3 linked regions of the Rattus norvegicus genome follow. The protein of the gene in region 1 purifies or fractionates together with the protein of each later gene. This does not show direct contact. Links are inferred from orthologs where the notes say so. Each region holds a gene or a part of one and is shown on either strand. Other genes may lie near its edges. The genes, in order: Sf3b6, Snrpd1 and Sf3a3.

Region 1 (3,751 bases):
CTAACTACAGTATTTCTACAGCCAGCGTGTTTAGGTCAAACTGCTCTTGCCACCTGCACTTGTATTGATTTATTTTGAGGCAAGTTTTACTAGGTAGCCCAGGCTAGCCTCAACCTCCTGCCTCAACCTCCAAGTACTGGGATTACGGGTACACACTGTCAGACCTAAATTTGATTTAACTAGTACCAATTTTTGTTTCCAACATTACTACCAATCTCTCTCCTTTGGAAGATGCTGGAGTTGATCCTATTGGGAGAATGTCAACTGCCTGGTTCTTGAGGGTCGCCACGTTCTCTGTGGTTTAATAGAAGCTGTTGATAAGTTTTAATGTGCCCTGTTTTTAAAACTATTTTGAAACGAGGAAGTCCCATCACTAGTTTGCTGCGATCTAGGGATAAGGTGAGTGCTGAGTGAAAGAAAGTATGAGTGACACCCAAAAAAACTGCCTTTGTACATACCCAGTCATAGCTCACTTTAGGGAGCCTATGAAGAAATCTGCCACCTTGTGTATCGATGGGTAACTGTACACAGAGAATTAATTCTCCCAACCCTCCCATGTATTCCTATATTTATTTATATAGCTTTCTATCAGGATTAACAGTATAAAGTCTTAATATAGGTCCAAGGCTTTGTTTTCAGGGTAGACCTCTTCTCAGTGTATTAAGAAAGCCTATTAGGTAAGTAAGTTTGAACCTTCAACAGATTTATGTTCCTAAAATCTTCTGTAGCATTACAGAAAGAGCCAACTTTGGAAATATATTCCGTCAGTTTCTCACCTAATGGGTAAGATAAGGCTTCATCATTCCTCTTGTATTAAGCTATGTAAATCTATCAGTTACACCAGTACTTTACTGCAGTCTTCCATCCCGGTACAGAATTAGGTTGCACATTGGAAGCACTCTCTTTCATGACGGTAAGTGGAAGGGTGTGCTGTTTCTGATACTCAGAGAACATTGAGACTGGCAGGATGGGGAATTCAGGTTGATATTCTTTTCCTTAGTACAAACAAACACTGGTGGAAACTTTCACCGAGCAGATTCTGCCCTTCTCTACGGACAGCCCCCAACGTCTGCTGCCGGTTCTGGAAGAGTCTACCCAGCAACTGATATTCATGTGGCTAATATGTGGACGCTAACAGGAACGTGGGTAAAATCGTCTTGGAGCTGCCCCAAGGAGGACCTCAGAGCAAACTTGGGAGTGGGCTCTCTTCCCAAGTCCGCTCCTGTAAAGCTGGTCTAAGGAAATAAAAAGGTGTATGTGAAGGGCGGTGTGCTCTGTCTGCGTGGACAAGAGTCGCGGGAACCGGGTGAGGGAGTTCGACCGTCAGGTGAAGCGCGACCCGAGACCCTGGCCCCGGGATAGACCTTCCGAGTAAAGGAGGCGCTGGCCAGCCACGAACGCCTCCGAAGCCTAAGGGCTAAATCTCAGACCCTAGGTCCGTTATCACTCGTGGACACCGCCCCTCAGTCCTCAAGCCACACCCCTTCAAGCGGAACACCTCCCTTCCTGTAGCACTCGCCCCGCCCCTTCCGGTCCGGTATCCGGAAGCGTCTTAGAGCTCGCTTTTTCGCCTTCCGGACTGACAACGCGTTCTCTCTAATTTGACTTGGAGCATCTTTTCTAGGAAGTAAACACGTCCTAGTTTGAGACGCGGACCTTCCGGCAGTGCCGTAACAGCTTCCGGCTTTACCTGGCTGTAAATATCCTGTATGTGGCGCCGTGTCGCCCACGAAGGCGACTGAGTTTTTAGAAATACCCAGAAGGATCTTACGGTAACCTACATCGGCCCGCCAAGATGGCGATGCAAGCGGCTAAGAGGGCGAATGTGAGTACCCCGCTTTCTGTGCGGTAGGGAAGCGATGTCGTTGCTTGACTGTCGCAACGGGTGTGGGAGCGTTTTTTGTCCCTCCGCCCACAGGTGGGGAAAGCTCGCGTTATCTGTTCAGTCCAAGGAGATTCTGTCCTGGCCTCATCCTCAGGGGTGGGTTTCTTGAGCGACTTTTCGCTCCGCCCCGCTCTAGTGAGAGCCCCCTGGTATCAGTGACCGTGTAAGGTCTACAGTCACTGCTGCTTGACCTACACCAAGGACCAAGTGTTAGGATCTTCTGAGTCCAAAAAGATGTACCGAGTAACTCTTGTTCATTGCCAGCTGGAGCCTGGGGTTTTTCTCGAACGTAGAACTTTGGGAATCCTCTGTTGATCTATGTAAGCGCCTGCTGTGTCTCTGGTCTTACAAACAGGAAGCAATTCATCAGTTGTATTTATTCAACACCTACTATGTGCCACATGCCGGTGACACCTACTATGTGCCACACGCCGGTGTTAGGTGTTGGGACACAGCAGTGAATTAAGCGAAAAGTCGGGCTTATGTTCTACTGTTGTCAGTGAGCGGAGTGTTATCAACATCTTTAAGAAAAGAAAATCCTGGGGCTGGGGATTTAGCTCAGTGGTAGAGCGCTTACCTAGGAAGCGCAAGGCCCTGGGTTCGGTCCCCAGCTCCGAAAAAAAGAACCAAAAAAAAAAAGAAAAGAAAAGAAAAGAAAATCCTTTCAAGAAAGTAGGAAATGGTTAAAACTTAGAATCTCACCAAAACAAAGACACATAATTGGCCATTGGATATTCTGATGAAGATTTTGGGCAACCGTGTTTATGCAAGTCATTTCAGTGAATGAAACCTTGGTTCCTGTAGAATGAAAAGATGCAGGGAATTAAGACAAAACTGCAGAGTTGGTCCTATGATTTTTCTTATTAATAGAGAAATCGAGCTGTTCTAAATATACCTAAAGTGCTTTTTACATACCATTGAGAATGAGCCAATAGAATGGTAGAGACCTGATAAAAGAACAATTTGTTAAATCCTAGAGTGCAGCTGGGATGTGGCTCAGTGGTAGAGTGCTTGCCTAGCATGCATGAGCCTATGAATTTGATTCCCAGCACCTCAAACCATGACAGAAATAGGAGTGGTTAGTATACCAATAGAAGAAAAATGGATAGATATCGATAAATAATGTTTAGCAATAGGAATATATAGTTCCCATTGATCATATCTGTTGTCTTCAAGAAGTGCGGAGCCAGGATCATATCCTGTGTTGTCTGAGAAAAGTATAGAGCCCCTTCACATTTACAGGGAATGAAGGTGGTGAAGTTTTAGGAGAGGAGAGGCTCACACAGTGTTTTGTAGTGAGAAAATGGATTTACTGGAGAAATATATCTGTGTGGCAGTTGTTGATTATAAAGCTTGACCTGGAAATCTGAAACGTTTATAGTTTGTTTAACAATTATCACCACTACTCATGTGAAGGTAGGGAATAAGCTTTTTTTGTTTTGTTTTGTTTTTTTGTTGTTTTTTTTTTTTTTTTTCGGAGCTGGGGACCGAACCCAGGGCCTTGCGCTTCCTAGGTAAGCACTCTACCACTGAGCTAAATCCCCAGCCCCGGGAATAAGCTTTTTTTAATGTATTTATTAGTGCGTGTGTGTATGATATAAAGCACATGTAGGACAATTCTGGGGAGTCCGTTCTCTACCAAGGGATTAACAGGTCATCAGGCTTGCTAGTAACTGCCTTTCACATGCTGAACCAGTTCGCCAGCCTGAGGGGAAATATTCTTTCATTCATATAATACTTAGCTTCAGACCAAAGCCATGTCAGTTTAATAAGTAATTATTGTCATTTCTTTGTTGACTGCAGTTGGGAAGAGTGAGCTGTGAGTCAGCAGTGTAGAGTAAGAGTCTAAGAGTGAGGGATATGCAG
Region 2 (3,651 bases), on another chromosome or scaffold:
GAGCTGCCAAGTGGGTGCTGGGAATTGAACCCAGGTCCTTTGGAAGAGCAGCCAGTGCTCTTACCTGCTGAGCCCTCTCTCCAGCCTGACTCCTCTTACATTCTTTTTTTTTTTTTTTTTTTTTCTCGGAGCTGGGGACTGAACCCAGGGCCTTGCGCTTGCTAGGCAAGCGCTCTAACACTGAGCTAAATCCCCAACCCCCTCCTCTTACATTCTTGCACTACAACTAAACCAAATTGCTGGTGCTGCTCCTGTTTTCTTGCCTTGTGTACCTTTTGCTTGCATGTGTTCTGCATAGAATGTTGCTTCCTCCAAAACACATCTGAGACTTGTGCTTTTGTGTTTCATGTTTGACTGTAAGTTGTTGTTGGCCTATGTTAATTATATATGATATTTTACTATGGTATTTCTGTGTATATGAACTGATTTTTATCATTGTTCATCCTTTATTATTTTCTCCTAAAACTTTCTTTTAAGTGGTTATTGAAGGGGGAAAAATAGTATCTTAACATGTGTTTCTATTCTCTAAAATACTGAGCTTGTAGATGTCTAAGTTTTTAATAGGTAGGTCCAATGTTTTAGTAAACCAGGAGAAAATGGGATGGCATTTTGTGGCTTTTCTAGGAGTTTTCAATGCTAATTGTGAATGGAGCTGCCTGTTTATGTTTCTAGATGTGCGCAGTCTGCATATCTAAGGACGTATACAGTTGCTGCCCTCCTTAAAGTTTCTTGAGGATGGATTTGGTCTGTTTTCTGTAGAACAGCATTGGGAAAGATCTTGTCCTCTCCTCCTCTTTCTTCCTCCTCCTCCTCCCTCGTTCTCCTTATTTAGATGTAGGGTTTATGTATTCTAGAATGTACCTCAAACTCACTGTGTATATTTGAAGATGCCTTCTGGTTTTGTGCCTCTAGCTCTTGGCTGCTGGTATTACAGACATGCCCACCACACCTCTTTATTTAGTAATAGGGATTGGAACCAGGGCTTCATGTATGCTAAGAAAGTATACTACCAGCTGAGCTATATTCCCGAACCCCAGAGTGGCATGTTTGCGCCCCCCCCTTTTCTTGTCAAAATCTAACAATGAAAACTGTAATACAAAAGCAAAACAAACCACTAACATACGTTTCTGTATCTTATATGAATGTATACACATAAGCATATAGAGGAGATGGAATGTATTAAGACTATCTAGGAAAGAAGAGAACTTCCTTCTTCGGAGAAAAAGAAGAAAGCATTTGTTATTGGGTGTTTTTTTTTGGGGGGGGGGTTCTGTTTGTTTGTTACAGATTTTCAGTATAGCTGTTTGTCCTGGAACATGGTTTGTAGAGCAGGATGGCCTTGACTCGGTAAGATTGACCTACCTCTGCTGCTTCACTCCTGCCTAGCAAAGAAAGGATTTGTAGTAGTGAATTTTTAGAGAAAAGAGCAGTAAGGTGAGCCTGGCATTGGCTCATACTTGTAATGCCAATACTTAGAAGGCTGGAGCGGAACCCTTAGTTTGAGGCAACTCTGGTCTACATAGTAACAGCCTGTCTAACAGAAAAAAACAAATATACAGACAGGCTCAGTTAAGGGCGTATTACAAGGTGATAGAGCAGTTGCCTAGAATGCTTGAGGTCCTGGATTCAGTCCATGGCACCACAAAAACAAATCCTTTCCACTTAGAAAGACATAACAAGGACCCAGACAAATGATCTAGTTGGGAAGTGCTCACTATACAAGCTTGAGAGCCTGAGTTCAGACCCCAGCTCCCCAAAGCTGGGTACTTCTAGTCCTGTAATTCAAGTTCTGAGAGACTCCGTCTCAGAAAACAAGATAGGGGGAGTGTCAGCTCAGCTGTTTGGTACAGGCATCTGCTGCCGAGCCTGACAGCCAAGTCCATGCCTCAGGATCTACACAGACGAAAGAGTGGACTGATCTTGTGGTTCCTGATCTCTAGACCATAGCACCATAGCACACACTGATTGTTGTGGTTCCTGATCTCTAGACGTGCACCATAGCGCACAGACACTTGCCTTCCCATATAACCATACTCATACTAATACATTGTCCTAAGACTGTTTTAGAACTCTGTATGTATGTGAGTGCAGGGGCCTTGGAGGCCAGAGGTACTGGGTCTCTCTGGAGCTGGAGTTACGGGCAATTAGTTCTGAGCCTCCTGATTCCAAGTTCCAAGAGAAACTTGGTTCTCTGTAAGAGCCTTGCACACTTACCATTGAGTCGTGTCTCTGGCCCCTGAAAAGTCATTGTAAGTAACTAAATAGGTGTGTTAAGTTGCGTATGATGGTGAGTACCTGTAGAGCAAGCACTTGAGAGACTTGGGCAGGAGAATTACAAGTATGAGACCAGCTGGGGCACATAGACTTTGTCTCAGGAAAGTGGGGGAAGAGTTCCTAGTGATAGGGAAAATTACCTGTGATGGGAAAAATACCATAGGTCTTTAAGAAGAAAGACCTGTGGCATGCTAGAGGGTAGGAAGTTATGGGGACAATGGGAGGATTTTACTGCAAACACTATCCAATCCTGGGATAAGAATTGAGTTCTGAAGGTAGTGGGCTCATGGCTCTTCATAGCTTGCTGAGCTCGTCTCCTTTGTCTGCACATAGGTTCTTTCTTTGTTGTCCAGGCTTTCCTTGAACACGTGCATTCCTTGTGCCTCAGCCTCTTGAATGATGAGATTACAGGAGTCACTTAATCACACCACCAGTGCGTTCAGTTCTGTACGTGCACTCAGCTCTGTACAGAAGCATTATGGCTAGGAAAAGTCGTTGTGAAGGGAACATTACTGATTTCTTTTGACATTTCCCCCACTGTGCGTGTATTTGGCATTTCCCCCATTGTGCGTGTATTCAGTTGTCACAGGAACTGACCTGTGACACAGCAGTTAAGAACTCCCTAGGGTGGGGGCTGGGGATTTAGCTCAGTGGTAGAGCGCTTACCTAGGAAGTGCAAGGCCCTGGGTTCGGTCCCCAGCTCCGAAAAAAAGAACCAAAAAAAAAAAAAAAAGAACTCCCTAGGGTGTTATTTCCACAAGGTAGATTGCCTTCTTATCATGCTGGTAATTGTTCTGCTTCCCCCCTTTAGGTGTAGATGTCAGCATGAATACGCACCTTAAAGCTGTGAAAATGACCCTGAAGAACAGAGAGCCTGTACAGTTGGAAACATTGAGTATTCGAGGCAATAACATTCGGTATTTTATTCTACCAGACAGTTTACCTCTAGATACACTACTTGTGGATGTCGAACCTAAAGTGAAGTCTAAGAAAAGAGAGGCTGGTAAGTGTAAAGGTGTTTATATATAGTGTGACTCACTGTTCAAAGTATGTTTGTGAACAATGGTACTCTTGTCGCTCAGAACATCGTGTGCTTGTCTTAGTACATGTGCTACGCAGAGCTCCTGGTGCTGCTGTGGAGAAGAGCCAGCCCTCCAGTCCTCTCTGCTGTTCTTTTCTTCCATGGAGTCTAGATTTGGGGGCTGGCTGCATGGCTTCCCTGTCCTCTCCCTCTACCACTTGTTTAGATGCTTGATAAATACTTGTAAATTCATTGTGAATTTTTTTTAACCCATACAGCTAATTTAACTTTGTCTTTTTATTCTGTATTCCTCTGTATTCCAGGACAGCAGTCTTGACCTTGTTATCTGTGTCAGC
Region 3 (3,282 bases), on another chromosome or scaffold:
TTATTCATTTATTATATATAAGTACACCATAGCTGTCTTCAAATACACCAGAAGAGGGCATCGGATCTCTTTACAGATGGTTGTGAGCCACCATGTGGTTGCTGGGAATTGAACTCATGACCTCTGGAAGAGCAGTCGGGTGCTCTTAACTGCTGAGCCATCTCTCCAGCCCGTAAATCTACATTTCAAATGCTTAAAAACGTTTTTTCTGAGCCAGGTGGTGATGATGGAATGCACCTTTAATTCTAGCACACAGCAGGTAGAGGCAGGCAGATCTGAGTTCCAGGCCTGCCTGGTCTACAGAGTGAATTCCAGGACAGCCAAGGCTACACAGAGAAGCCCTCCCTGTCTTGAAAAACATTTTTTCTTACATTTCTTTACTGTGTGCAACTGTTTGTATGTGCTCACATGTGTGCATGGTCATGCATGTGTGGATCCCCTTCCGTCATGTGTTGTGGGAATCAAACTCAGGTCATCATGGGCGATTATGAGTATTCAGAGATGCACACATGTATGCATAGCCCATACATGCATGCATGCATGCACGCACGCACGCACGCACACGAAAGCAACATGGCAGCATTTGTTGGCTGTGTTTTAAGGCAGTGTGGGTACTAGTGTGGCTTATAGTTTAGTTTGCTTCCTTACTAGGATAAACATGACCAAAAACAACCCGGGAAGGAGAGGGTTTGTCTGGCTTACACTTTGAGGTCACAGTGTGTCACTGAGGGAAGTCAGGGTAGGAACTCAGGGCAGAAATCAGGGCAGCTGACGTGGAGGAACACCCATCAGAGGCTTGCTCGCCACAGTTTGCTCAGCCTGCTTTCTTACAACTTGCAAGACATCTTGCCCGGGAGTGGCAGCACCCCCAGTGAGTGGAGGCACCCCATGTCAATCACTAATCGAGACAATGCAGTACAGACAATATGATGGGGGCATATTGAAGTTCCTTCTTCCCAGATACAACTAACCAGGACAAAGCTGAGCTTAAGTCACACTCCAGTACTCCCCAATCTCAGGTGGCAGAGGCAGGATCTCTGAGTTCCAAGCCAACCCGAGCACAAGAACAGCCAGGACTGTATAGAGAGACCGTCTTAAAAAACAAAATAAAGCCCTAACCAGGACATGTATTAAGAAGCCTTCTCAGCTATGATCCTTTTTATTTTATCCCACAGTTTCGCTAGACTCTTGTACAAACTGCTTCTTTTGAGAGAGCTTTCTTTTTACCGTTTGTTTGGTTTTTGAGCCAGGGTTGCTCATTTAGCACAAACTGCCTTCAATCTCAGTATGTAGCCAAGGCTAGCCTTAAACTGCCAGATCCTTCTTCCTCTATCTCCCAAGTGCTGAGGTTATAGGAGTGAACCTCCATGCTGATTTCTGGTCTCTGTCCTAAGACAGTTTTTCTTTCACAGCAACGTGAGACTGTGGTAATTTCTCAATCAGAGGGGCTTTATCTACAGGTTGTTCTAAATCAAAATTCTGTTTGGGGGGCTGACAGTCGGGAGCCTGTGGGGAGCGGGGCGGTGAGAATGATGTAACACTGTACCCAGGGGACTGAGGGCCTAATGGCTGCTTACCTCTCATCCTGCAGTGTGGGCCAAGCTGAAACTGCAGAAGGCTTCAGAACGATGGCAGCCTGACACCGAGGTGGGTGTTAATGTGGATCGTGTTAGGTGTGGCGTCAAGTGACGGCTCCCTCACTACGCAGACAGGAGAGGCTAGAGAGTTTTCTGTTTTAGCAAGTGTAATGACAGTGTCTACACGTGTGTGAGCCTGTCGGCATGTATGCTTTAAGTCTTTGTCATCAGGCACTTCTCCCACTGAGGCAGTTGTGAATAAGGGCACCCCGTCTCTTGTGCTACCCTGGGGATTTCTAAAGAAGTCTGTCACCTCTTAGGTCTCTGAGGAAAGCATCAAGTCAGAGATGGTCCTCTCTTCAGAGTGGGAATCTGTCCTTGTTGGTCTTGACAGGTCTCAGAGATGGCTACCATACATTGAAGGGGTGGCAGTAACGTCCTGGTCCTGTGCAGACCGACAGTAGTCTCTTATTCTATGTCAGTATTGCAGTTTTGTTTTCTTGCATCAAGAGCCCTTCCAGCTGTAATGTAGACCTGAAACACAAGACTGGCCTCGCTGTCAACTCCTGCAGTGGCCCAAGGGCAGAAACCCAGGCTTGGGCACCATTTCACACTGCTGTTTTGGTTTCCTTGTCAGGCTTTCCCTGTCAGGCTTCCTTGTCTCAAACACAAGGCATTTCTTGAAAGACTATGAAGGGATAAGGGTGAGCCACGACTGGTGCCACTCTAGATATCTAGAAACAGCTTTGGATTCCTCTTGGAGCTCTGGTTGAGAAAGTTATGTTAAATTAATGCTGGTTTCTGGCAGTGTGTAGCTAACGGCCTTTCCTTTTCAGGAAGAATATGAAGACTCCAGTGGAAATGTTGTGAACAAGAAGACATACGAGGATCTGAAAAGACAAGGACTGCTCTAGTGGTTGGCCATGCCTGGGCTTCCGTGAGAAGCCTGAGAAAATTTTTCCCAACCAAATGTTCTTAAAGACTTTTTGCTATGTAGTATCTACCTTGTAGGAAGAAGACATGCTGACAGATTGCAGAATTGAGATGTGTTTTATCTTTGTTTTATATTAAAAAGATTTGTGGGAAAATAAAACAGCCCTTGTTCTAGACGTGTTGTTTCTGAAATCCAGGTCTATAAAGTAACATAATCCTTTTGTTCTTAATGCCTCCTGGTCTGGTTCTCACCAGCTTCCATATTGGCTTAGACTTAGGGGTAGTTATTACTACCTATATATAATTCTGTCTGTGTGTCTCAATGATAGCCCAGGCTGGCCTTGAACTCCCACCAGCCCTGCTTCAGCCTCCCTGTGCTGAGATTACAGATCTGGACCGCCTCACCAGGCATGTGTCAAGTAATTGAGACCTAACGTTTCTCCCTTCACTGCCACTTCCCAAATGAGCCTCATGCCGGCATGAACTCTGCCCTCAGTAGAGTCAGCCATCAGTGTGAATATCAGAGAAAACAGGAGGGTGAACCAGACCTGAGGCTTAGAGTGGTTTCAAGGTTTGCCTGTTTTATTTGCCTAAAGAAATTAGCTGTAGTTGGCCTTGGTCCCAGCACCTGGGGAGAGGCAGGCATCTGAGTCCAAAGCCACTCAGGGTGCTGTTGTGAGACTCTGCCTTAGAAAATAAATTAACTGCAGCCAGGTATAATAGCAGAGGCCTGTATTCCAGGCTTCGGGGCAACTCAGGCAAGAGGATGGCT

The links.
Region 2: the proteins of Sf3b6 (region 1) and Snrpd1 fractionate together in Homo sapiens (co-fractionation; 3 studies listed by BioGRID and IntAct, with this or other methods). This does not show direct contact. The link is inferred for Rattus norvegicus from reciprocal best matches to the Homo sapiens genes SF3B6 and SNRPD1.
Region 3: the proteins of Sf3b6 (region 1) and Sf3a3 purify together in Homo sapiens (affinity purification with mass spectrometry; 3 studies listed by BioGRID and IntAct, with this or other methods). This does not show direct contact. The link is inferred for Rattus norvegicus from reciprocal best matches to the Homo sapiens genes SF3B6 and SF3A3.

What each region holds. Positions count from the first base shown.
Region 1 is NC_086024.1:33,543,958-33,547,708, forward strand, and holds the start of Sf3b6 (splicing factor 3B subunit 6), read left to right. Parts: upstream 1-1,537; 5' UTR 1,538-1,795; coding exon 1,796-1,825; intron 1,826-3,751.
Region 2 is NC_086036.1:1,972,626-1,976,276, forward strand, and holds part of Snrpd1 (small nuclear ribonucleoprotein Sm D1), read left to right. Parts: intron 1-3,085; coding exon 3,086-3,277; intron 3,278-3,651. UniProt on the Homo sapiens protein: Plays a role in pre-mRNA splicing as a core component of the spliceosomal U1, U2, U4 and U5 small nuclear ribonucleoproteins (snRNPs), the building blocks of the spliceosome.
Region 3 is NC_086023.1:142,269,368-142,272,649, forward strand, and holds the end of Sf3a3 (splicing factor 3A subunit 3), read left to right. Parts: intron 1-1,591; coding exon 1,592-1,647; intron 1,648-2,413; coding exon 2,414-2,491; 3' UTR 2,492-2,670; downstream 2,671-3,282. UniProt on the Homo sapiens protein: Component of the 17S U2 SnRNP complex of the spliceosome, a large ribonucleoprotein complex that removes introns from transcribed pre-mRNAs.